Coturnix japonica: one gene and its partners. The protein of the gene in region 4 purifies or fractionates together with the protein of the main gene of each other region. This does not show direct contact. Links are inferred from orthologs where the notes say so. Each region holds a gene or a part of one and is shown on either strand. Other genes may lie near its edges.

Region 1 (2,200 bases), on a different chromosome or scaffold from region 4:
ATCACTAGGGCCTGGGGGGATCTGTTTTGCTCTGGGCTGAGGGGTGATACTCCTTGAGAGCAGACTGCATCGCTGTGGGCCAGGCTTCTTCAGCTGCTCATTCCTCTCTGCTAGGGCCTTTGAGACCCCTCCACAGGGGTAGGAGGAGGGTTGTTGTAGAACAGCACTGAGGTATTGTTATCGAAAAGGAAGCTTTGCATGAATGAAATTGTCTTGCTGTAATTATTGCAAGCACTTTGTCTCAGTTCTGATGCGCATTCTGCTGTGCTTCATTGCAGGAGAAGCCAATGCCATGTTGGTCAGAGCTAAGGCCAAGGCTGAGGCCATTCAGCTCCTGGCAGCTGCTCTGGCACAGCAGGTAAGCCATGGCTACTGGGGGAAGCCAGAGCTTTGGTGCTAGCATTGAGGGAGGTGAAACTGAAGCTGGGGTGGCACATGGCTTTCTATGTGATGTCTACTGGCATCCTGAGCAGCAGTGAAAATTTCTGCGATGAGCTGCACACAGAACAGGCTGGGCTGAGCTCTTGGTCATACATGACTTGGCATCTTTCCTGATGGGCCTGATCTGTCTCTCTCCAGCACGGCAGTGCAGCAGCCTCTCTCTCTGTGGCTGAGCAGTATGTGAGCGCCTTCTCCAAGCTTGCCAAAGATTCCAACACAGTCCTGCTGCCAACCAACACTGGTGATGTCACCCACATGGTAGCACAGGTCAGTGTCAGCAATGGGATCCTGTTTGTTGGGGGCTAGTGAAAGTGACAACCAGGTTTACCGTGGTGGATGGGTGTTTGTGCTGAGTGAGAGGTGTGGAGATGAGGAAATGGGCCCAGTGTGTGGGTCTGGGATAGAAGGTGTGGGTTGGAGCAGCTGCTTTGCAGCATCCTGTGGAAACCAGGCGGTCTCTGGTGTAGCTGTCCCTAGCTGCAAAACAGGCCTGTGATGGTTTGCTGCTGTAGAAGAGAGGGCAGAACAAGCTGGTAAAAATACAAGGTAAGTGCTGACTTCTGTCTTCTCGATATGTAAGTCTCGACCATTGCTCTGCTGGCATGCAGCTGAGTGTAGAGCAGGGATTTGGCTTGGTTCCTGAGGGCATTGCTGTGTGCTAGCAGTAGTTCCCCATGCAGCTGTCTTAAAATGGTGATGTGACCTGACAACATCAGGGCTTTGAGCAGAGCCCTTTCAGAAGCTGCTGTGGCCCTATCTACCTTGTGGGGCCTGCTCTGTCCCAGCCCTATGCACACCCTGTCCTCTCCTGTCACAGCCTTGTTGCAGGTATTCTTGCTGTCCCACAGGGCCCTCTCTAGGGACAAATGACCATTTCTGTTCCTGTATCCATCCAGTGCATCTCATCTCCTCCCTGATGGCTCTCTCATTTCCTGCAGGCATTGGGCATCTACACCACGCTGACCAAGACACAAGCTGTGAAGACTCGGGATGAGCTACCTCTAGCCCATGAGGACCCCCAGCCCCTCAGCACAGAGATGCTTAAGGCAGAGCAGGCAGCCTCCAGCTAGTGGGGCAGAACAGACACTGGACACACTGATGGGGCAGCACCCACCAGAAAGGGGATACTTGTCCAGGGCCTGCGAGCCTGTGGGGAGCCCTGTTCCACCACCTTCCTCAGCTAGACATTCTTCTTCCCTTGGCCCTTATTTTGTATCTGAATCTGATCACGTAATAAATAGTACCATCGCTACAGCACATCCTTGTGGTGCTCAGAGCTGTGTCCTGACATGGAGGGTTGCAGCATGAAGTGATGACTGTCCTGAGAGGCTCCGTGCCTGTGACAATCCGCAAGAAGAGCCTGTGCCCACGGGCTGTTCTGGTTCTGGAATGACACGGAGCCTTGTGCTGGTGGTTGCATGCAGCAGCTCGAGCTGTTGCTGGTGCCACTGGGGGGGTGGGTAGAGGAACGTGCTGGAAACTGGTGCTGGTGTCAGTATGTAGGGAGTGAGGGGAGCAGCTCCGGAGTTTGGCAGGTACCAGCTGAGGGGGATCGGAGCAGCTGCCTGTACAGAGGGTGAATGCTGAACCCCCTCCATCAGGTGCAGGGGCAGAGTGGGGATGTAGGGGAGTGGTAGTTGTGTCCAACACCCCTTCAGCTCCGGCAGCTCGTGGCCGTGATCGCTGTTAGAGCAGAGCTCAGCGCTGCCCTCCGCTCCTGTGAGGAGCTGCAGCCGCCATCAGCCTCCCCTCAGCTCCT
Region 2 (3,500 bases), on a different chromosome or scaffold from region 4:
ATTTCTATGCAGTTTAGCTATTCCTTTAGCTGATACTGCTGCCATTGTAAAAATATCTTCAATAAATTTTTCAGCGAGTTTTTTACTTGGAACACTGCTATTCTGCACTTGAGATATGTGTTATAGTTTGCCTGTATTAGCATATGGCTGACTACCTGAAAAGACAGGCAGATCTTTTTAAAGTAATTCTGTGAGATTATATTCTTTAAATACTATGATTGTCCTTGAAGAGGCCGAAGTCCCAGTTAAAGCTGAATGATGAAGCTTGGCTTTGGTAATACATGAAGTCCCGTCTTATACTGCTCCTGTTAATTGGAGTGCATCATGTCTTAACTGCTGCCCTCTTCAGGTCTCTTTTTCTCAGCTGATCCTAAACCAATTTCAGTAGCAGAGATAGTGGATCTTTTTAACTGGAATTATCCAAGCATAGGCGTAATCCAGAAACCATGAATGGAAGAATGCAATGGAAGGACTGAAAGTACAGTCAGCATGTTTTGAATTTCTCCTGACTGTATACTAGGAGCTTATTTATTTGAAGGTTGCTAAGTATTCAACAAAGCAAAGTTTTAAGGTCATAAAAAGTGAGGAGGAATTGCAGAGAAATGAGGTAAGTGTTGATAGAGGTTTGCACAGCTACTCCACTGTGGCGAAGTGAAAAATGTATGAGGGAGGGCTACTGAGAGCTTTAAAGAACAGACATCTTGTATGATGTTTTCCTTACTAATCACAGTGTATTTTATTAAATAAACTCACACATCTTAATTTTTCAGATAACGTCTTTAAAGTTGAGTATCTCACATCAACTTCTTAAATGTTTGCAGGTAAAGTGTTGCAAATGGAAGATGACCTGGTGATTTCCTTCCAGTTGCTGCTGTGTGTCTTAGATTATTTTATCAAACTGTCACCTCCTGCTATGCTCAAGGAACCATACAGTAAGACTCTGTGTTTTTTGTTTATTAAATCAAAGTGGAAAATAAATGGGTTAACTTTCCATTGGAGTCTTGCTAACATTCGCAGTTAAACTGCCAAAGTGTATTGAAATTGATTCTTTTTTTAGTATTTTAATTCAATTTAGATGATGATGGATTTGAATTAAGTTATTTTAATGTGGCAGTGTATTTAACATATTTCAATTCCTCTATCTCTTTCCCATGTCCCCTTTCCATTTGAGTTGTTCAGAAGCTTGTGAGAAGAGTAGTCTTGGCTTAGTAAAGTAATTTAGGTTCTGGGTAGATGGCAACGATTGAGTACTATTATTTAGGTTTGCTTTGAAATACAAAAGGAGAAGGTGGTGCTGTGGTTCTTGCTTCACTGATTCCTAGCAATATGATGACAACTGAAGTGTGCAAGGTACTGGACTATGCAGGCATTAAAAAGAAATACGTGATGGATTAAAAAAAACGATTGCTGTGATAGCTCAAAATGGTAAAGAAAGAGGTGTATATTTTAATATATATATTTAATACATTCACTTTCTATTAGAACATGTTTCTTCCTTATTTTATACACAGATGTAATGGATCTTACCTGTAGAACTCCCACTCAACATAAACTGTTGTATGTCCAACTTTTGTACTCAAAGCATGGGAAATGTCAATCAAAAGTCAGAGAAATTGTTTACTTTTCACTTGGAAAGACAGAACTCCATTTTTGCTCTTTGTTGAGTACTTTATTCCACAATCTATGGATTTGATACTCTATAGTATTTGCAGCCCTAGGAAGTAGAGAACAGTTTTTGATACTACACAAGTTTATCCGGTGTTGGATTTGAATGAGATATTGGAATTAACAGCCTGAATCTTCCTGCTCTTCTGTTGCTTTCCAGCTAAATATCCATAGGGAAAATGTAAAGACTAACACCTCATTATTTAAAAAACAGGCTGTGTGTATTTTATCGCTGTCATAATTGTAAAGCATATTTCTCACTTGGTACAGGTACTCTTGAAACTGTCACAAACTGCTTCATTCCTTTAGCAAGTAGCACCATTATTCAGGAGGCTTCACATTATGCTAAACAATGTCAAGCTTTGTGATATTAAGAGTGTGGGGATTAAGATGCAACCACCAGAGCAGTGTCGTTTGTCAGAATTACTCATAGAACTGTTAACAAATGCAAATGTAGTTATAATTGAGAACAGCTCTCTGATAAAGAGTATCAGTTTTAAAGCATGTAATTGTATTATCATGTTAATATAATTTGGATATTTCAAGGTGATGATATTGAGGCCATCTGCACTGGAACAGGTTGCCCAAGGAGGCTGTGGATGCCCCATCCCTGCAGGCATTCAAGGCCAGGCTGGATGTGGCTCTGGGCAGCCTGGGCTGGTGGTTGGTGACCCTGCACATAGCAGGGGGTTGAAACTGGATGATCATTGTGGTCCTTTTCAACCCAGGTCATTCTATGATTCTGTGAAAATGCAACATTTTTACCTCATTTGAAGTAAGCAGTAGAGCAGCTGCTTATTCACAGCTGCTTCTAAAAAGTGCTATTAAGTGGCACTGAATACTTGTAAAAACAGAATGTCCAGATACTGATAAAGGAGTTGAAAAATTGGTATTTTTTTGTAGAAGTTTTTGTAATGGAGGTTGCTTACCCAGCTGAAGAGATGAAAAGGGAAAGATTTAAGACTGCCTGAGAAGTCATAAATATTTAAATCTATGAAGTTACCGTAGTTGTTTTTCCTTAAGATGAATGTAAACTTGTGATGGTTCTGCTTGTCTTTTCAGAGTCTGCTGTGACTGCACTGACTGCTAATGGTTCAACTCGAACCCCACGAAGAGGTCAGAACAGGAATGCACGCGCTTCAAAGCAAATTGATACAGATACAAAAGTTATTGAAATCCTTTGTAAAGAGCATGATTGTAATTTAGATGAGGTAATGCCTGTGTTTTAATATATGTTGGATCTTGCTGCTAAACCCCTACTGGGATATGTGCTTATTTAAGCATTTCGGTTTTAAAAGACTGCTTGTGTTTACTAATTATTCTCTCAAGTTCAATAGTGAAGGTATTGTGCCATTCTACAGTTCTCTAGTAGGTAGGTTAACAAAATTAAGTCCCTTCTTATGATGTGGGTGATGAGTTTCCTTGCTAAGGTAAACTGTGAAGAATGCTGTGTTAAATTTCATACTGATCCAATGTCTGGTATGTGGATGCAGACCTGCTCTGATGGGGGGTCACAGCTGTATCTCACAATATGAAAATAACTGCTACTAATGCACTCCTGTGTGGGATCTTGAAGGCCTCATTCGCCTTTTTCTCTGCTGATAAATATCTTTCTGTGTGAAAATGACTTTATTTCTGAATATCTGAGCAGATGACTAGAAGAAAGAGGCTGAAAAGTGGGTAAATTCCTTCCCATTTTATTTCCAGCCGTGGATAGTATGCTGAATGCTTACATTTGGAGTGGATCCAGAGGAGGGCCACAGAGATGATCAGAGGGCTGGAGCATCTCCATTATGAGGATGGACTGAGGGAGTTGGGGCTCTTCAGCCTAGAAC
Region 3 (3,500 bases), on a different chromosome or scaffold from region 4:
CTTATAATTTGTCTTATTCTGAGGTGTTACCATCAGAACTTGGTGCTTTACCCCTTTACCCTTGATGTCTGATCACATCACATGACATGTTTGTTATAAGTAAACATCAGCTGAAATCTTTGACGAGGAGTAGTTGTAGCTTGTCCTAAATTTGCATCTCGTTACAGTGATTTATGTTATTTGGGACTATTGTGGTTAGGAAATAAAACAGCCATGGAGAAGATCTGTTTGCAGTCGCTTTTAGAGGACTTCCTTTGCATGCAATTGAATGCATTAGGAATGAAATAGGAAGATGGCTCATTTATAGAGTGTTCCTGTTTGTCATTGCCAATTAAGTTGTCAGATGCGTTGATTGATTTTATATATTAAACAGATTATTCCAGTTCTCAGGCAGCTTATTTTTGATCGGTCTCTTGATGGCTCTTTTTGCACTTAAAATTTTGAAGATACCAATTGAATTTTCAGCCCAAAACTTACATTTGAAAGTAGGTAGTCTGTCACCTGGAAAAAGCCTTCTGTCTTTGTAAGCCATAATTGCAGGCTGTGCTCCTTTGGCTTCCTAGGTGGTTATCCCACTCCCTCTTCTTTGAGGCTTCCTGCTCAGTGAGCTGTGGGTAATCCCAGCCCTGGGCGGGCAGTTTGACACTGCTGCAGCACTTCCCCCATGGCAGAGGTAATGATCTGCTTCACGAAACACTCTTCATAAAATGTGATAGGGAACCACCGAGTTGGTGTTTCGGGATCTGGGCTTTGTGGTTTTGGTTTAGTAATAGTAGCAGTTGATAAACATGTTATCTGATTCTTGTTACACTAAAAAAAAATTAAAAATAATAATAAAAAAAAAACTTTAAGAAGGTTTAACTATGCTGTTATCTTTCTTTTAAAAGCTCTCTAATAAAATAAACTGTGTACTATTGCTGTAGTGATAAACGCGGTCAGCAGTTAAAACTTTGAGAGTCGGTTCTGGATTTTAGCCAGATGTCTCCCAGTAAAAGTAGAAAGATGAATGTCATTTCACAGGTTGCAGTCTGACAAAGACACAATGGCTAACAAAGTGACTGTGGGTAAAACCACCCTGCTGCCTGTATCCTAATTCTTATCATTTCTGTATCATCTCTTCACCTCTGCTTTGTGTTTAAACTGAAGAGTGAGATATTTTTTCCTTGAATTATTTTCACTGGATTTGCAATGAATATACGTGCTTGAGGGAGGTGAAGAGGACAAACTCAAAGTAAAGAATAAACCTACAGTTAGCATTAAAAACATGTCTGGTTATTCTGGTTTCTTATGTTACTGACCAGCTTGAAGTAGTTTACATAAATGATGTATGCACTGCAGTGTTCTTCCAAGAGAAATGAATTTTGTCAAATGACATTTAAGGATAAGGAACTGTTTAAAAGAACAGACATTTAAAACACTGTAAAAATACACAAACTCTTTCAGGGTATATGTGAGTGTAATCTTAGGAAGGTTAATCGTGAAGAAACTAAAGTGAGAACTATCTGCTTTTGTGCAGTTAAGGCTTCTGTAAGACTATACCCAACTTAATAACCTCTCTGTAAGGAATGAAGTGGGCTGAGAGTTATGAGGGTAATAAGCAATGGGACTGTATTACAGGAACGGTGTACAAGCTTTTCATGAATATTATTATCTCACGAAGAAAAGACATCGAAGTGTGTGTTTTCATGCAGATACATCATGCAAAACAGACCATCTGTCTTCTCATGTCTGACCACAGCAGTTGTGATCACCCAGGGAGCACGGCTTACAAGCACAGTATTTGGCCCATAGTGCGCTTTGAGGCACGTTATGCTGGAGTTTGGAACTATTATTCTGTCAGATTCCAGATCTGATGACTTTCAGACTGGTGGAGGTGTGTTTCTGTTTGCTCCAAACTATGTCAGACTACTGGGAAGATGTCTGTTGGTTTGAATTACACCTTAAGTGCACCTTAAATTTAAACTCCTAGAGGTCAGGAGACTGTTTAGAGAACTGTAACTAATGTGTTTTGGAGACTGGACTATAATAATTAGCTATTAAAATGCTGTGTATATTTTCTCCTGGTGGTTCATAACAAGTCTAATGGGGTTCAACATTTCAGTACATTATAATTATTAAGTCTTTGTTTTAACATTGTTAGCATTGAAATACATATTCTGCCCACATATTGAAGTACTGTTTGCTTTTGCCATCAAAACAGCTTTTTTTATATTCTGTTTACACTGAAAAGCCTACTTTGTGCTCCAAAAGTGATGAGAAGCTTGTTTGTGCAGTTGGTGTATGTTCAACAGTAATTAAAGATGGCATTTAGCGCTTCGATGAGAATCTTTCAGAATGGCTGAAAGCCATATTTATACAGTGGTGACCAAGACGTATCTGTGGGATTCTCCAAAACTCAGTCACCACGTCTCCTCTGTAGTCTTGGACCTCATGAATGACAAGGTGGGGGTCTCTGGAATGGCTGAAGATTAGCATCTCCTGCTGTTTTGTAATTATTAGAATCTGGACAGTCACTTATTTGAATGAAGTAATGCATACAGTTTGTGCCTCTGAATAAAAGCATACATAATGTGATTGTAAGAAAAGGTTTTCAGTCTCTCAGTGGGATGTCATAGGGTATGTTTATAAACTCCAACCTAGCAGTTGTTCTGCAGTGGAATTCCACTGGTATTGAGATAATAATTTGCACAGTCAAATTGCTTTCTTTACAAAAACCCAGGGAATTATGAGACCCTAATCCTTTATTAATGTCAACCCATAGGCAGCAAGGAAGCGTAAGATTGCCATTCGAAAAGCCCAGGGGAAAAATCTTGAGGCCATCCGAGAGCTGAATGAATATCTGGAACAGTGAGTGTCTCACAAGAATACAGATTGTGTGTTGCTATTCTGATAAATCTTTTTAATTAAAATGGAATTTGCATTTGATTTATGCTTTTCCTTCCATGCTGGTCATTTACAGAATCCCTCTACACATTCTTTCTTTTTTGCCTTTTTTTTTCTCTCTTGTCTTTTCTGTACAGATTTGTTGGAGACCAGGAAGCTTGGCATGAACTTGCAGAACTTTACATCAATGAACATGAGTAAGTCGTTTGCAAAGTCTTCATAAAAAATGTTAAATAGAAATATGTTCTGTGCAAGTGAAAAACCTCAGTGATTATTTTGAAGAACTGATGTTAGAAAGCATGAAGTCTCATTTGCAATATAACAAACTTTGTCAGGAAATAATTAACAGCCTTGTCAGACTGCTAAGACATTAACAAGGTATTTGATTTTAAAACAGAATTTAAATAATTACTTGTATGTTTCAGGCATTCATTAAATCCATTATTTTTAATTAATGTTCTAAGCATAGCAAGGAACAGCACATTTTCTCTAGGTTTTTTTTCAAGTGATGTTTTTTACTGGGTATAGATTTTAAATTCTTTGTCTCTAAAAGCCACTGATCAGACCAAACTGTGTGCAATACTCGTATTTTCAATTAGACTATCTCTGCAGGAACT
Region 4 (4,256 bases):
CACATTTACTAGATCAGGTTGCCCAGGAGACCCCATAGATCCCCATAGAGACCCCATAGATCCCCATAGACCCCATGGACCCCATAGATCCCCATAGAGACCCCATGGACCCCATAGATCCCCACAGAGACCCCATAGATCCCATAGATCAGGTTGCCCAGGGCCCTGTCCAACCTGGTCTCGAACACCTCCAAGGTGTTCAAGGGCAGCACCCAGATCGATCCATCTACCTACAGAACAGCAGCATCCCCTTCTAGGCGCTCACATCTAAACGTTTTATAATATTTCTTTTAGAGATATATTTTATTCTTCTCAATTCCAAAGGCCTTTCGTTGAAGGCATCATGGCCGTCAGGCCCGGTTACAACCTCCCCACAGCTATCACCCCACCTCACTCACCCAGATCCTTATCGTTGATACCCAGGTGGTTGTCAAGCTCGGTGCAGACCTTAGAGACCAGCGATAAATACTCGAGCTTGGCGAGCTCCTCTAAAGCCGCCAGGTCCGCCATCTTTCCCCCACCCCCACCCCACACACCAGGAGCCACTTCCGCATCCGGGAAGCACCGGAAGTCAAGCTGATCATAGAGAGGATAGAGAGCTAGAGCGGCTCTGTCCGGATCCAATCAGCGCTGGGGGGTGCCGGAAGTGGCCGTTGCTAGGCGACGCTTGCCGCCGCCATGTCGGCCTTGCACTGGGAGGCGAGGCGAAGGCAGGCCGCGCTGGAGCGGCGCAGGGCCGCGTTAATACGGGTGTGTGTAGAGCGAGGGAAGGGCTGGGGAACGGAGCTAGGGCGGCTCTTATAGCCCCATATGTACTTTGCAGTCCGCGGGCTGCTCTAGAATGGATACGAGGCACGGTATTGATAACAGCCCGACGCAGGCATTGCCTCCCGGTGAGCAGAAAGCGGCCCTGGGGTTAAAGGAAGGGCTGAGAGCCGGGCTGGGCTCTACTCAGCTCTACCTTGTTCCTATTATAGAGCCTCAGCCGTATCGTTGCTGCTGCCCGAGTCATCAAGCGTCCAACCCAAGTGCCAGGCTGCCCAATCGCTTCACGGTAAGGAGCTGCCTCAAAGAGCTGAGATCCATCTGTTTAGAAGCCAAAGTAATTTCCCTTTGCATCTATAGGCTATTCAGTACATGCAGCAATGGTGAGGACCACAGACCACAACAAGCAGAGCAAAGCACCGCCTGTGTACAGCACAAGGAGCCATGTCAGCTAAAGCTAAGAGCTAAATAAAATAGCACTGCGCCTCAATGTCAATGGTCTGTGTTAAGCATTAAGCTCCTTCCTCTGCCTGGGCCTGCCCGGCTCTGGGGTTGCAGGCCCAGAGGCTCATTGCTATCAGCGAGCTAAACAACCAATAGGAAGCAGCCTTGCTCAGCATGTGGTACCGCCGCGAAGCTCGCTGGGAGTTGTGTCCTACCCTGTAACTACAATAACAACGAAGAACTACAAGTCCCAGAATGCCTCGTGGAAAGCGCGGGCCAATAGGGAGAGGGCGTGTTGAGGTTGCACGCATGCGCGGTAGGGTGGGAGGCCGAGGATTCATGTGGAGGTCAGGGGAGCTGCGGGAGGAGAGTGGGGTGGGAGGGGGCGGAGGGTCTTGGGGTATTGGAGCTGAGCTGGGGGCTGAGGGTACGAACGAGGCCTTCACCCGCCAGGTCTGTGTCCTGAGAGTCAGAGGCCTCGGGAAACGTGGGTGGGAGGAGGGAGGGGGGGAGAATGGGGAATTAAAGGGGGTTCGAGGTGTGGGGTTCCTCGAGGGGTTTTGGGGGGGGGGAAGGGGGGGATGTGGGGTCTTGGGTTCAGAGTCCAAGGTGATAAGGGGGGGGGGAGTGGAGAGGCCTGTATGGCTGCTGAGGGGCAAAGAAATTGCTATTATAATGAATGATCCCATTTCATGGTGGGCTTTTTGGATTGGGGTTCCATCCCAGCTCTAGGTACACACTAGGGCTGCCTGGTTTTCTCGTTTCCTATAGTTTTACCGAAGTTATGGGATTTTTTTTTTGCAGGAGGTTCATCATAAAGGGGTTAGAACAGCACGTGAGAAATGGCTGCCAAAGTGTTTGAGAGCATTGGGAAGTTCGGCCTGGGGTTGGCTGTTGCAGGTGGAGTCGTCAATTCTGCTCTATATAATGGTGAGTGGGACAGGCTGAGTGTTTCCAGTTCTCTTTATGTCCTTATTATCTGGCTGCTCTGTGCTTTTATTGCTTGTGGTATCTGGGGAAGACAGTGATAAAGCCTCTTTCAGGGCTGTTTTGTACCTTGTGCATTGCATAAGTAGGAGGAATTCAGGCTTTTTCAACACAACTCTCTTGTGAGCAGGCTGAGGGCTCAGTGGTAATGGATGAGTATTCTCTTTTGATTTGTTATTCCTAAGAATATTAATAGCTTTGCCATTTTTACATAGCAAAAAGCCTTAACTAACCTCCATAGACTGTCCCTATGGAAGTTTTGCTGCTGTGCAGATATAACTCATGATGCTACTGAATCTATGTTGTTTTCTTTTCCAGTTGATGCAGGACACAGAGCTGTTATCTTTGATCGATTCCGTGGAGTCCAGGATACGGTGGTAGGAGAAGGAACTCATTTCCTCATCCCCTGGGTACAGAAACCGATCATTTTTGATTGCCGTTCTCGCCCACGTAACATACCTGTCATTACTGGCAGCAAAGGTGAGGTTTGGGACTGGGCAGCTCTATAAGATCCAGGCACTCTGATGTGCACTGTGTGTGTCTCACTCTTCTGCTGCTTTGGAGCTGGGTGGGCAGAGGCATGAGAAAAAGCTTTTTGAAGACACTTATGATCATTAACGTGCTAGAGGACTATAGGAATGAGGGTTTTATCTCTGAACATGGAGATTCTATGAGTGTAGAGTTTAGCAGTCAGGAATAGTTTGATACTTATCCTTTAAATAAAAAGTCTGTGTTTACTGTAGGGTAATTCCCTGCATTACAGACAAACTGAAGCTTCAGTTTAATCTGTAAGGAGGATTTGGATCCCTATGTGAAATATAGTCCTTGGTTAATGAAATACTACAAACCTTTCCTTTGTTAGAAGTCTGAATGTTTGTCTTATTTTGCTTTCCTCTGGAGGGGACAGCTTCAGTATATCTCCTGCCCATAAGGTTTAATGCTAAATTTGTGCCTGTTTCTGCAGATCTACAGAATGTGAACATCACGCTGCGTATCCTGTTCAGACCCGTGACTGCGCAGCTACCCCGGATCTTCACAAGTATTGGGGAGGACTATGATGAGCGTGTCCTGCCCTCCATCACAACTGAAATCCTCAAATCTGTTGTGGTAAGAACAGCACAAATGCTGGGGTCAACCTGTCGCTTCTCTTTTGTTTTAGCACTAATGAGACGTGCTGAATTGTGGAAAATGTGAAGCTCTAAAATGAGGCTTCTCTTTATACCCCTTGGCTCTAATGTGCAATACAGAAGAGTTAAAACTGTATCTATGCTGATTGCTTCTCTGTCGTTTTAACTACTTGGCTTTATTTTCATCAAGTTGGGTGACAAGTAGAGCATCTGAGAGCTTTCTTCTCACTGTTGTCCATCCTGACTTCAGGCTCGCTTTGATGCTGGAGAATTGATCACTCAAAGAGAACTGGTCTCCAGGCAAGTGAGCGAAGACCTCACAGAGAGAGCAGCAACTTTTGGCCTCATTCTGGATGATGTGTCCTTGGTAAGAGTTCCCTTTCAGTTTTTCTCCCTGTGCAAATAGGGAAGAAAATTGGTAGAGGATCGGAGAAGAGGTGTGAAAGCTTGTGTATGTGGACCCTGTTTGTTTGCAGTTGCACATGATGCAGTGGTTACAGCTCAAGTCAAAGTAGTTGGTTGTGTCACTGGCCACCTATAGACTTTGTTTTTTAAAAGGATGGAAAGCTTGCTAGGTTTAGTTTCTGTTACACTGCATTCTTTTTTTTAGCGATACTGACTTTCCATCTTCTCTGATAAAGGCAAAACGCCTCCTGCCTTAGACATGTGCTGTTGGTAGCAGTGTTGCTGTAAATGCTGTTGTGGACTGTGATTTCTGCCTTGCAGACCCATCTGACCTTTGGTAAGGAATTCACCGAAGCAGTTGAAATGAAGCAAGTGGCCCAGCAAGAAGCAGAGCGAGCCAGGTTCATTGTGGAAAAGGTACTTTATTCTTTTGAGAAACTTTAGCTTGGAAGTAGTTCCTGGTATCTCAGTCATTTCTTCTCACAGTGAATACTTTAGTCACCTGCCCAGGAAACCAGGCAGGTATAT
Region 5 (3,992 bases), on a different chromosome or scaffold from region 4:
CCTTTCTCCTGTGTACCTGAGTTATTTCAGAGCCACGAGCCTTACGATGTTTTCCACTATTCTTAAAGTTCTATTTTTATGCTAAACTGCTTCTCAGACCCTTGTGCTGCTCAGACCTTGCCTGCAGAAGAGCACCGTGTACACATCCTCTCACTTTCCCTCTTGAACTTCTGCACTCTGGGACCCACAGCCCTTCCTTAGGTTGGGAACTTAGCACAACCTCCAGGTTCTCACTGGTGCCACTGCAGTTAAATAGGCCTCTCACCAGGCCAGGGCCCTTTCAGGAAACATAATACCATTACCTGAGATAATTGTAAGACCTGCTTTGCACTCTTAACACTGATGTACCCTACAGCTGAGCTCTTGTATCTCCAGTAATGGGCTTGCTGTGCACTGCTACAGTGGCTGGTTTTCTTCTGACAGAGAAGCACAGATATTGATAGCAGAACTCAGGGTGACAGGGAGCAGTTCTTGTGGCTTCTGAGTCACGTGGAGGCTGTGTGAGTATTTCTGGCTCTCATCAACCTGCCTAGTGAACATGTTTCTCTTTGCCTCGGTTTCCCTATCTTTGTAAAGCGTCATTAACAATATTGACATTTATTTGATGTGTGTAAATAAGGAAATACGACTTGTGAGCGAGTTGGGAAGAACTGGTTTCTGAGCCGTGCTTTTACATGGACTTTTTGTGTTTGTTTTTACTGACGTTGTATTTCTAAATAGATGTTAAAGATGGGATGATGGGTGCATATAAATGTTAACTCGCCTCTTGAAACTTCATGAGACTCAAGCGAGTCAAAAAGGTACCTCTCACTTGTTTGTGGGATGCCACTGTCCCCTCTGTATTACAGTTTACTCCTGAGGCCTATAAACCATTCATTAACTTTGTATCAGCCAAGCCTCTCAGCTGTGTGATTGCATCTGCTTAGAAGGGAGAGCTGGGAGCTGCAGGCTGCTGAGTCTGAGATCACGGAGCAGGTCCTGGAAGAGATATTAAGGCACGTGGGAGACGCGGCTGTTAATGGAGCCACGCACAGGGCTCCATGCGGGCTGTGTGTGCAGTCATGCCCCGCACAGGGCTCTATCCCGGCTGTGTGTGCAGTCATGCCCCGCACAGGGCTCTATCCCGGCTGTGTGTGCACTCATGCCCCGCACAGGGCTCTATCCCGGCTGTGTGTGCACTCATACCCCGCACAGGGCTCTATGCGGGCTGTGTGTGCAGTCATGTCCCGCACAGGGCTCTATCCCGGCTGTGTGTGCAGTCATGCCCCGCACTCAGCTCCATCCCTCCGGTGTCTCCCGCCGGTTCCCGTCGCTCCGCGCCACCCGGTGGTCCTAAGCCCCGCCCCCTGCGGCGGCCCCGCCCCCTCCCGCAGCCAATGGGCGTGTGGAACGCGGCGGCGCGTTGCCGTGGCGCGCCCCCGCCCACGTGTGTTCCGCCGCCCGTATATAACGCGGCCATTTCGGCCCCGCTCCCGCCTCGCTGCCGCAGCGCCGCCTCCCCCGTCGCGTTCCGCCCGGCCTCTCCTCGCCGCCTCCCGCCATGGCCGACGCGGTCGTGTCCTTCCTCAAGGATTTCCTCGCCGGGGGGGTGGCGGCCGCCATCTCCAAGACCGCCGTCGCCCCCATCGAGCGGGTGAAGCTGCTGCTGCAGGTGAGCGGCGGGACGGGGGCGGCGGGCGTTCCAAGGTCGTCAAGGAGAGGGGGGCTGCGGGGCGGCGGGCGGGCGCTCTGACGGCGCTGCTGGTGCTGCTGGTGCTGATAGTGCTGCTGGTGCTGTGTCCCCCGCAGGTGCAGCACGCCAGCAAGCAGATCTCCGCCGACAAGCAGTACAAGGGCATCATCGACTGCGTGGTGCGCATCCCGCGCGAGCAGGGCGTCCTGTCCTTCTGGCGGGGTAACCTGGCCAACGTGATCCGGTACTTCCCCACCCAAGCGCTCAACTTCGCCTTCAAGGACAAGTACAAGCAGATCTTCCTGGGCGGCGTGGACAAGCGCACCCAGTTCTGGCGATACTTCGCGGGGAACCTGGCGTCCGGCGGCGCTGCCGGCGCTACCTCGCTCTGCTTCGTGTACCCCCTTGACTTCGCCCGGACCCGCCTGGCCGCCGACGTGGGTAAAGCCGGGGCCGACCGCGAGTTCAGCGGCCTCGGTGACTGCCTGGTGAAGATCTTCCGCTCGGATGGCCTCAAGGGCCTGTACCAGGGCTTCAACGTGTCCGTCCAGGGCATCATCATCTACAGAGCCGCCTACTTCGGCATCTACGATACCGCGAAGGGTAGGTGGGGTGGCACGGCGCTCCCGTGGAGCTGTGGGCCCTTAGCCCTGCACTGTGCGTGATGCCGGTTCGCCTGCTGATGTCACACAGAGCCTCTCTCCCGCAGGAATGCTCCCCGACCCAAAGAACACCCACATCGTGGTCAGCTGGATGATCGCTCAGTCGGTCACCGCGGTGGCCGGTTTGGTCTCCTATCCCTTCGATACAGTTCGGCGCCGCATGATGATGCAGTCCGGCCGTAAAGGAAGTAAGTCGCTCCCTCCCTCCTTGTGTTAGGGGCTGGTGGGCATCCCTGAATCAACAGCTGGCAGTGGGTCTGTGCTGGGGGCAGGAGTGTGTGCTGCCCTTCACCAAGGCCTTTAAATTCCTTCTCCTCTTGTAAACTGCAGGATATGAGGGGACTGCAGAAGCAGCTGTCAGGTGGGGGCAAATAGATTGGCTTTGTGGCATCCCTGTAAGGGGAACATGCAGGTTGGGTTTGTTCAGTAAGAAGGAATGGCAGAGCTTGCCTGAGGATGTTGAAACTCATGTCTCTGGGCTAAGAAGGGTTGTCCTTCAGTGCAGGCACGGCCTGGCTGACTGCAGTAGCTTTTGGGACTGGAAGTTTTGGTGTCTAGGAAACAGTAGCTGCCTTCTGCTCAGACTGGTCCTTCCAGTGTCTCCTGGGGGTAACACAAGCCTGGGCGATCTCATCGTCTAAAAGTAAGTCAAGAAATGGATACATGAGGTTGTACAACTGCCAGATACGTTAGGTGGGTTCTGACTTGGACTTTGGGGGTCATAGGCAGCAGGTTTCTAACACTGTCTGTTCCCACAGCTGACATAATGTACAGTGGCACTCTTGACTGCTGGCGGAAGATTGCCCGGGACGAGGGCTCCAAGGCGTTTTTCAAAGGTGCATGGTCGAATGTGCTCCGAGGAATGGGTGGTGCTTTCGTCTTAGTGCTGTATGATGAAATTAAGAAGTACACATAAGTTATTTCTTGTTCTGAAGTGGCATGTTGTAATATGTTATCTATGACCATTCATGGACTTGTATGAAAACTGTCTAGTTACTAACAGTAACGGATGATATTTATACAGGTTGGCATGGGGCAGGGACAACCTCCTGCCTCGTCTTTATCAAATCATTCCCACTGCTGGGACTCAAACATGGTTTCTATTTCAGTCACTCCTGTTTAAAGAGTACAAAGAAATAAAAATCCGATGCCAGCTTTCTTTGTCTCATGGTTGTTCTCATAGCAGCTGCAGTGTGAGGGGCCAGGGACCTCTGTGATTGTAGAGGGGGAAGGCAGAGCCCTGCATGACCCACTGACTGTGGGCTCCAGCACGTGAATGCAGTGCAGCCTGCTGAGAGAGTGTTTCCAGCCTGGTGGAGGTCAGCAGTGAGTGCTGGTGGTAACTAAGGGACATGTGCTGGCCTTGTGCCACCAGTCCTGCCTTGGGGCTGTGTGTTCCATGGGGCTGATGAAGGCTCTTTTCAGAACCTTTTCCTGCAAAGCACCCACTGGACTAAACATCTGGGGACTGGAGGGAAGTCGTAAGGAGTATCCACAGCAGCCTGGAAGAGCGGAGCTGGCGTCACATGTTCTGGCTTAGAAACTGAACTCCCTACTTGGGCATGTTAAAACTCAGCCAGAGAAAATAAGTGTGGGTAATTGCTGCTCTTTCTGCAAAGCCCCTGGCTAGGCTTGCCATTGCATGGAGGTGTTGGGCT
Region 6 (4,044 bases), on a different chromosome or scaffold from region 4:
GAGCTGCCTTACTGCAGATGATACATATGATGATTTCAGATGCTGAAGATATGTACAGCTTGCTGTTAAATGCACCAGTTAAATGTCTTTAGCTCCCTTTTAGATGAAAGATTATAAAGCAACAGCATCTCTGTATAACTCAGATAAGACTGTTTCAGAGATTTTATAACTTCAGACATGAATGCATCTCCTACCTCTACATAACCAGAGAGTGGAAAGTCCTTCCGGAAAGGATGGCCTTCAAACCCGTAGTCTGTGAGGATTCGCCTTAGATCAGGATGGTTGGCAAAGAAAACACCATACATGTCCCAAACCTAAATGAAAGGGAGACAAGTTGAATTAGACTGTCTATCTCCATTCTAATCTCTCTAGCACCTCCACGATTCACTAGGTCACCTGGAGGCCAATCTAACCATGAAAACAAACAAGCCTAACACAGGCTCCTCTTACTTTGAACAAAGTACCCTTTGTTATTATATCCACAGGATTTCAGTTCCTTGCCTGGTTTTGTGCACTACCAGTGCAAGTCATAAAAGAACTAAAGAAAAAACAACCAAACACCTTTGTTTCCCCCTGTTCAGAATAAGAAGTCAGTGAAACGCTTCTTTCTTTCTCAGTGCCCTAAGTATCAAGTTTGATCAGGAAAACACAGCCCCCCTCAAGAGGCTGCTCCCAGGTAGGCTGGCACTCACCTCCCTTTCATACCAGTTTGCTGCTTTGTGCACAGACACTGCTGAGTCAATAGGTGTCAGCTCATCAGTGTATGTTTTCACACGGATCCGACTGTTGAATCGCAGAGACAGGAGATTGTAAACAATCTGAAGCAGAGTACAAGAAGGCATTGGGCTTGTAAGGACTTTGAAGGTCTCTTTGCAATATAGGACAGGCTGAGCAAAGATACATCGAGCCCATTTCAAATACTCCTTTTCAGCAAAATCATGTTCAGCTCTTAGGAGCTGGGCACTGAAAGGCACCGTAACTGAGAGTCCCATGCACTATCTCTTCCTTAGAAGTGTAACAAAAAGTATGTGGGATTTATAAAACATCAATTATTGAAAAAGAGTTAAAGTAATGAAGAACAGTAAATCTTAAAGAAAGAGAATACTGGAGGGATGAAAACACTTGACAATAGCCTGTCTCAAAGAAAACAGCTACCAAGTACTCTGAGTATCCAGTGATCCAATTGGAATGTTAAATTTGTTACCACAGATAAACCAAGGGGAAAAATAAACCAGTTACTTTTCTTTATCCTTGTAACTTGCTGGGAATTAAACTACATCATTTCTCCCATTTGAAGGATGATCCGCCCAAATTGGACAGAGGAAGGAGAATTGTTAAGGAGAAGATTGATGGGATTTTAAGGAAAACTGTGACTGTTTGTGTTAACAGCAGCTGACAGGCCCAGGAGGAAGAAGGAAGAGCACCAGATTGTATCAAGCCAGAAAGAAGGCTTTGTATAAACAAACCAAAACAAGCTACTACCACTCCCCACAAAAAGACTTCTAGCAGAACAGAACAGGAAAGCCTAACTAGGAATCCATGCAGTATCAGACTTTTTTGTGTGTGTGAAGTACAAAATCCAGTTCTAGCTGCAACAGCACCCATGGCCATTAGCACCTGTGAAACTCTCTGAGCTTGGTGTCTCAGAGCAGTTCTTACCTCGAAGCGGTACTGCCGAGATGGGACATCAACAGCAGTCAAGTCAGCCAAGGACTTGAACTGGGCATTAGTATGATCTCGGAGGAAGGTCAGAACTGGAATAATCCCATCTGGATGGATCAGAAGCTCCAACTCATTGAAACAGGTCACCTGATGAAAAGGATGAAAGGGAACTTGCACGTGCTAACAGGATTGAACGCTGCACAGAATCCAGCAGCACATCATACAGAGTACACAATACAGCAGACACAATGACATCAGAGAAAGTGGCTCAACAGTAGTTGTAATTTTCATGCAATTCTGACCATCTCCCTTCCACACAACAGCTTCTGACATCTAACAGGTGGTGTGTTCATGCCGTCCCTTGCCTCCCAGCAAGAACAATTAATTGCGGAGCACCTACCTGTACTTGCTGGATGTACTTGGGCAGGATCTCAGCCACATACTCCCCGAATGCACAGAGCTGCTTCTGTTCCACTTCATTTTTCGGTCTGACAGTAGCTACGGCAAACAACAGATTCCAGCAGGGCACGTCACAGAAAGAGCAGCAACACTCAGCACCTCCTTAAAAATCCCTTTAACCACTCTCAGTCTCTCAGTAGCTCTTTCAGAAGCAAGGCAGATTCAGGCATCCCATAAAGCTTACACATGGTAAACCTGAAGCTAAATATACAATACATGCACAACGCAGTGCAGAGTTTGCTATCATAAAAACGACATCAAAATAACACCATAAGGCTGAGGGACACTGCCTCTGAGCCACATGAATAACTGAGCTACCTGAATAACTGAGAACCACCTCAATAACTGAGCTACCTGAATAACAGCCCTCCGAAAACAGCCCCCCCCTCCAGCCCCCCTTTCACTTACGTCGCGTCTCCGTGGCCGAGCCCCCCGCCAGCCGGGTCTGCACCGCCGCCGCCGCCGGGCCTGCACCAGCTGAGGACAGAATGGACACGCTGTTACCCAGCTGTTTTCCAGCTGTTACCCAGCTGTTACCTCCCGCTCTCACCTCGCCGCACGGCCCAGGCCAGGCCCCGCACCGCCGCCGCCAACATCCCGCCGCCGCCGCAGCACGGCCGGGCAAGGGCACGGACCGGAAGCGGAAGGACTCGCCGCCACCGAACTACTTCCCCCGGGAGCCGGAAGCGCGCTGGGATCGCTCGGCGGCTCTTCCGGGTGGGTGCCGGAAGCGGCGAGTGCCTGGCGGCGCCTGGCGCAGGGTGAGGGCCGAGCGGGAGCCGCTGGGGCAGCACGGGGCCGAGGCGGCATGAAGGGAGGAGCCGCAGGTGGGTGTCGCACCGTTTTGTTTCTGAGCGTTATGTTGCTGTGAACCCCACGTACTCCCTCGCGGTCTGTAGCCGTTGCTGACGCTTCCCCGTGACGCGGCCCCTCCTGCCGTGGGGTTGGGGCTGCGGTTGTTGGTGCTTGGCTGGGAGCGCTGCGGGACGGGCTCGGACCCGCTAATGCTGGAAGTGTAGGGCTGAGCTGTTCTGGGTCACGACCTCAGTATCGTGGAGCATCACGGATGGTGCAGCCGGTCCGATGAGTGCTGTACAACAAAGGTCATGCTTAAAACAGACCGTCCAAGATGGGAGGGACCTGTCCAGCCCGTGAGATGGGGAACAACCTCCTGTGAACAAAGCGTCAGTGAAGAATGAGGAGCCGTCCTGCACCAGCAGGGCTGATGCAAGAGCAGGAGTGTTTGAAGGCATGGGAACAGGGAAAGTAACCATTAATCTCCTGGAGAGAAGTCATGCGTTTGAGAAATCATGTACTGGAAATCACGTGCAGAAATAATCAGTTCAGTTTTGCTTTCAGTCACCATAGTTGGATAGTCGAGGTGTAGAACTAGAGGGAATGCAAACAGGCCTCCGTTTGTTAATGCTGCCAGGAGCTGTGTTAAAGCCCCTTTCCTGCAGCAGTCCTTAGCTGGGTCAGAAGCTTCTTCAACTCGGAACACTGCCAGTTATCTCTGTCGCCTGCTCAGCAGTGTTGCAGACCGAGTTCTCCTTGTCACTTAGGAAATGGTGACTAACGGCATCTAGCAAGTTGTTTTGTATGCTGAAAATGAGTGGCACATCAGCAAATATGGCCATCAGTTACCTCGTATACTTCGCTTGAGGGACTGATGGTTGTGCCTGGCAGATTTTTTGGTAAAAACAAAATCACTTTACTCGATGCGTTGCAAAAACTCAAACACATTGGATGCTAATTAACTGATCTTTGCATTGCGATACTTTAACCCCTTTCTCTTCCACCCAGCCCAGCAGCAGTAGCGTTGCTTTTCTTGGCTTTGCAAGTATTTCTTTGTGCCAGTGAAATGAGCTGTGGAAAGATGCAAATCTTCTGATTGTGCTGGGATGCTGTGCTCACTGGGAGTTG
Region 7 (4,135 bases), on a different chromosome or scaffold from region 4:
TGGATGGTACCTGGCAAAAACTGCATTTTGCCCAGGGAGGAGATGGAACATGCTAAATTAAACACCTTTGTTACCTTTTAGAGCATTGGTTTCTTATTTAAGACACTTGGTATCTCACCTGCTGCCTGTCGTTTGGGGCTGCTTCCCTGCCTGTCTCTCCGCATTCAGGCTGGGCGCAGCTCAGCTGACAGCGAGGCACAGGAGCCAGCTCGGTGGCTTTGGGGTAAACTGCGACCATCAGATCCCAAACTTCAGCACAAGCGGGATTTGCTGATTGACCTCATTTATGCTGAGCCTCATTTCCGAGCTGGGTCAGTGCCGGCATTGTCCTCACGGGGTGGAATTTTCTCTGCGAGGAGACGTAACGCTGCTGACTCACCGCGTCGGCTCAGAGCAGAACGACGTTTGTAAAGGAAAACCCCCCTTCCCTGCTCCCCGGAGGCCACAGCCGGCACCGGGACGTTCGGCTTCAGCTCCCACGGGCGGCACAGCGGAGGCAGGGCCTGCTCCGCTCCCCTCAGCCCTCAGCCCTTCCTTCCGCCACCAGAACCGTTACTTCTGCATCCCCGCCCTCCTCCGCTCGTCTGGCCTCACAGACACCCTGACACAACCGCATCGCTTCCTTCGGGAACCCGGCGTTACACAAGGCCTGCAAGGCCTCTTGCCCGGCCCCAGGCCCACACCCTCAGCTCAGCCTGTGACTAAGGGGTACCAGACACACAGATATTTTCCTAACAGGCTGAAAACGCTTTCCGAGGGGTTAAAGAAACACCAGGGAGCGATGAAGGTGAACGAGCCCCAGCAGTACGAGCAGCTCCCGGCACAGCAGCGAGCGAGGCCGAACCCTGCTACAAGGCCGAGCCCCGCTATGGGGCCTAACCCCGCTACGAGGCCGAACCCCGCTGTGAGGCCTAACCCCGCTACGAGGCCTTAACCCCGCTATGAGGCCTAACCCCGCTACGGGGCCTTAACCCCGCTGTGAGGCCTAACCCCGCTACGGGGCCTTAACCCCGCTCTGAAGCCTAACCCCGCTGTGAGGCGATGCGCCCAGGCCGCAGCCCCGGCCGTGCCCCCACCACAGAGAGCGGCCGTGTCCCCGCCCACATCTCAACGGCCTCCCCTGGGCCAGCCAATCACCGCGCACTTCCTGCAACCTCGCCAGCCAATAGGAGCGCTCCACGAAGGGCAGCGCCGTTGGGGCGTGTTTTGAGGCGGGCGGGCCGTTGAGCGGCGGCGCTTTTAGCCAATCAGAACGCAGAACGGGCGGAGGGGCGGGAGGGTGGGCGCGCCGCTCGCCAATGGGAGAAGAGAAGAGAGGTGGGCCGGGGGGCGGAGCTGGCGCGCAATAGATAGGCGGGCGACGGCGGCGCTGGGCGCCTGGACACGTGACGGAGGTGAGGGCCGGGGGCGGCGGGAGGGTCCGCGGTGCTGCGGGGTGCGGTGAGTGACTCCACAGACACACACACATATATACACATGGCGGGGGGTTTGTTGGGGCTGCGGGGCTCCGCACGGTGCGGGGGGTGCGGTGTTGGGGTGCCGGGCCTCGAGCCTTCAGCCTCCAGCGTGGGCCTTGTGGGCAGCGGGGGGGTCCCGAGCCGCTGAGGGAGGGATGTGTGCGGCCGAGAGCTGCGGGCCGCCATGCTGAGCCCTGCGGGAACGGCGCCTTCTGGTACGTTCTGAGGGCGGGCGGCGCTGCGGCCTGTGCGGGGATGGGCGGGATGGGGAGCGGGGCCGTGACGGCACGAGGGGGGGAGAGCACGGAGTGAGGGGACGGGGAGGATGAGCAATGGGAAACAACGGGGTGTGCAATGGGAAACAACAGGTGGGGGTGCGGGCTGAGAGCCGCCGTGCTGTGAGCCTCACGGGCTGGGCTGGTTGCAGCGCAGGGCTCTCAGCTCGCACTGCTGGTCTGAGGGTCTCAGCCGTGTGCTTTTGAATTACAAATCTTAGTAAAGCACTCGTAGTCGTGACAGCGCTGTCTGCTCTGCTCCTAAAGAGTGAACTTTCACGTGCCGTCCCGCGCTTCAGAACTTTCTAGGCGGTGGAAAGAGAAATGCTGCGGGTGAGCTCATTGGGAAGGGAAGCTGCCATGTGGTGCTGGCTGGGGTTACCTACAGCTCCGGGCTTCAGCGGTTGTGATGTTAATGAACGCTGCTGAGCATCGTGTAAAACACACCGAGTTCGTTTGGGGTTTGTCTGGTGCCTGAGGTCCGGGCTCCGGGAACGTGATGTTTGTTGAAATTCAGTCTGTTATTTAATGTTTGTCAAGTAGTGATAACCCATGTGTATTATAAGGAGATAATAGAACCGTAATAAGGTGTGATATAACAGTGTTAAGAGTATGGGTTAAATGGAAGTTAATATATTACTACAAAAACACTTGAGGTGCACGAGAGTGGCTATTACATTATGTGGGTTTATTCAGAATGCTTGGCCCTTTTCTAGTTAAACTTCAGTATTTAAGTCTCAATATTTCCACTTACTTCACTTTACTTAAATATATGTGTAATGAAGAGACTATTTCTACATACTATTTGACAAGCTGGCTATAGGACGTTAACTGTTTCCTGGTGTTGGCTGCCCCTTTTGGAAGAGAAGCCTAATGCAGAACAGCGAGGAAGCTCACAGCTTCCTCTAGTTTGCCCTTTCATTCAATGTGTTGCAGCATTTCCCGCTAAGTAAATGAATAAATGCTTCACTGAGAGCACCCTGTAACTTGTACTTAGCCCTTCCTTGTATTTCCTTTCCTGGCCTTTCATTTTTCTGCCTCTTGCAGTGAACAAAATGGCAGCCTGTTCTTGCTGGAATCAATTCTGTAGCAAAGCAATCCTGAATTGATTTCTAGGCATGATCTCAAAGATCTTGAGGCGCCTCCACATTTCTCCCCACCTACCTTAATTTCCCTTGCAGTCCATCTGTTTTATGGCCAAGAAGCCTTGCAGTTCTGCCTTTGTCCTCCAAGGACTTCCAGTTCTGCGGGGATCTCTGTGCTGACAAACAGTACATGGTGTTTTCTCCCTTGCTGTTTCTGCAGTGTTGTACATTATTTTTAGAAACTGGCGTATTTGAAGTGCTTATTAAAGGCGAGCTTTGCTGTCACCTTTCACACCTAATCCCTTGGTTTGTTCTTCTTGCAGTCCAACCAGGGTGGCTTTTTCTGTTGCTCGTGGGGGCTCCAGGTTTGGCTGATCCCTTCTCAGAGTAGCAGTGTGTCCTGCCCCCACCCCTCCTTTGTGAGGGGAGAAAAAAAGCCAAACCAACGATACCACCCACACACAGAACTCCAGCCTGTTGAAAGCAAGGCAGGGCACTACTGGAGTCTGTCTGACTGCAGAACTGAGCACTTAAGGGGAAAATTTGGTCTGTATCGTATGAGCTGCTGTAGATATGAACATAATTTTATTATATCCCTCTCAGGAGCGGTGGGAATCTGGATGCTGAGATCACAGTGTTTGGCAATGAGGTTAGTGGTCTAGCTTTGCTGTGGAGTGTAGATCTCCCAAGTCTGCCTAATGAGAGGCCTGTGTGACAGGCGTGGATGCCTGCAGTGTACCTGATACGTTGGCATAAAGCTGATGCTGCTGCTAGCAGCTTAACATCCTTTATCCTTGGCTACTTGTCCTGCTACAGCACCTTCTGCCTTTGTGTACTGGACTGGAGCATTGATGACAGGTTAAAGCAGAAGGGTTTTTAGCCATCTTAAAGGGCCTGCCCTGCTCACCAGCAGGCAGTTGCTGTGACACAGCAGAGGAGGCAGGATGTGGAAAGTGAAGGGATCTCAAGATGTCAGAGATTCCTCCGCTCTTCAGTGGTTTGAACTTTAAGGAACTATTGGCCTGCCTTGTGGAATAGCCAAGTCCTGCTCAGAAATAATGAGAATGTCGTTTGAAGGGGGTGAGGATGGGGCGGGTATTGCTCCTCCTTTTGGTCTCCTGGCAGTTTTGTTTGAATGTACTGACTTGTGTCTGTACAATTTTCTTCCCCGGCCCTTGTCTTGCATGAGGATGCACTGTGCTTAGTTTTGCAGTTGTGCTTCCTCTGTAAATACAGTAACAAAGTGTAGCACTGAACACAGGGCTTTGCTAGTAAATCTTGTTGCTTACATGCGCTCAAGTCAGTTTCAGCTGTTGAG

What was found.
Region 1: the proteins of PHB (region 4) and STOML2 purify together in Homo sapiens (affinity purification with western blotting; 3 studies listed by BioGRID, with this or other methods). This does not show direct contact. The link is inferred for Coturnix japonica from reciprocal best matches to the Homo sapiens genes PHB1 and STOML2.
Region 2: the proteins of PHB (region 4) and RB1 purify together in Homo sapiens (affinity purification with western blotting; 3 studies listed by BioGRID). This does not show direct contact. The link is inferred for Coturnix japonica from reciprocal best matches to the Homo sapiens genes PHB1 and RB1.
Region 3: the proteins of PHB (region 4) and EMC2 purify together in Homo sapiens (affinity purification with mass spectrometry; 3 studies listed by BioGRID and IntAct, with this or other methods). This does not show direct contact. The link is inferred for Coturnix japonica from reciprocal best matches to the Homo sapiens genes PHB1 and EMC2.
Region 5: the proteins of PHB (region 4) and SLC25A5 purify together in Homo sapiens (affinity purification with mass spectrometry; 3 studies listed by BioGRID and IntAct, with this or other methods). This does not show direct contact. The link is inferred for Coturnix japonica from reciprocal best matches to the Homo sapiens genes PHB1 and SLC25A5.
Region 6: the proteins of PHB (region 4) and NDUFS3 purify together in Homo sapiens (affinity purification with mass spectrometry; 3 studies listed by BioGRID and IntAct, with this or other methods). This does not show direct contact. The link is inferred for Coturnix japonica from reciprocal best matches to the Homo sapiens genes PHB1 and NDUFS3.
Region 7: the proteins of PHB (region 4) and CANX purify together in Homo sapiens (affinity purification with mass spectrometry; 3 studies listed by BioGRID and IntAct, with this or other methods). This does not show direct contact. The link is inferred for Coturnix japonica from reciprocal best matches to the Homo sapiens genes PHB1 and CANX.

The regions. Positions count from the first base shown.
Region 1 is NC_029547.1:7,860,553-7,862,752, reverse strand, and holds the end of STOML2 (stomatin-like protein 2, mitochondrial), read left to right. Parts: intron 1-278; coding exon 279-358; intron 359-579; coding exon 580-708; intron 709-1,379; coding exon 1,380-1,511; 3' UTR 1,512-1,700; downstream 1,701-2,200. UniProt on the Homo sapiens protein: Mitochondrial protein that probably regulates the biogenesis and the activity of mitochondria.
Region 2 is NC_029516.1:151,029,307-151,032,806, forward strand, and holds part of RB1 (retinoblastoma-associated protein), read left to right. Parts: intron 1-821; coding exon 822-932; intron 933-2,727; coding exon 2,728-2,876; intron 2,877-3,500. UniProt on the Homo sapiens protein: Tumor suppressor that is a key regulator of the G1/S transition of the cell cycle. The hypophosphorylated form binds transcription regulators of the E2F family, preventing transcription of E2F-responsive genes.
Region 3 is NC_029517.1:119,278,183-119,281,682, forward strand, and holds part of EMC2 (ER membrane protein complex subunit 2), read left to right. Parts: intron 1-2,761; coding exon 2,762-2,847; intron 2,848-3,020; coding exon 3,021-3,080; intron 3,081-3,500. UniProt on the Homo sapiens protein: Part of the endoplasmic reticulum membrane protein complex (EMC) that enables the energy-independent insertion into endoplasmic reticulum membranes of newly synthesized membrane proteins.
Region 4 is NC_029542.1:2,952,336-2,956,591, forward strand, and holds the start of PHB (prohibitin), read left to right. Parts: upstream 1-1,456; 5' UTR 1,457-1,556; exon of another isoform or gene 1,557-1,662; intron 1,663-2,013; 5' UTR 2,014-2,051; coding exon 2,052-2,139; intron 2,140-2,514; coding exon 2,515-2,676; intron 2,677-3,160; coding exon 3,161-3,303; intron 3,304-3,461; exon of another isoform or gene 3,462-3,573; coding exon 3,574-3,690; exon of another isoform or gene 3,691-3,717; intron 3,718-4,049; coding exon 4,050-4,145; intron 4,146-4,256. Other genes in the region: ATP-dependent RNA helicase DHX8, read right to left, coding at 399-510.
Region 5 is NC_029519.1:15,436,811-15,440,802, reverse strand, and holds SLC25A5 (ADP/ATP translocase 2), read left to right. Parts: upstream 1-1,442; 5' UTR 1,443-1,540; coding exon 1,541-1,651; intron 1,652-1,788; coding exon 1,789-2,275; intron 2,276-2,381; coding exon 2,382-2,522; intron 2,523-3,092; coding exon 3,093-3,250; 3' UTR 3,251-3,492; downstream 3,493-3,992.
Region 6 is NC_029520.1:20,332,147-20,336,190, forward strand, and holds the start of NDUFS3 (NADH dehydrogenase [ubiquinone] iron-sulfur protein 3, mitochondrial), read right to left. Parts: upstream 2,801-4,044; 5' UTR 2,718-2,800; coding exon 2,672-2,717; intron 2,599-2,671; coding exon 2,530-2,598; intron 2,161-2,529; coding exon 2,063-2,160; intron 1,810-2,062; coding exon 1,660-1,809; intron 819-1,659; coding exon 693-818; intron 315-692; coding exon 195-314; intron 1-194. Other genes in the region: KBTBD4 (kelch repeat and BTB domain-containing protein 4), read left to right, coding at 2,930-2,948.
Region 7 is NC_029528.1:4,533,817-4,537,951, forward strand, and holds the start of CANX (calnexin), read left to right. Parts: upstream 1-1,335; 5' UTR 1,336-1,440; intron 1,441-4,135. UniProt on the Homo sapiens protein: Calcium-binding protein that interacts with newly synthesized monoglucosylated glycoproteins in the endoplasmic reticulum. It may act in assisting protein assembly and/or in the retention within the ER of unassembled protein subunits.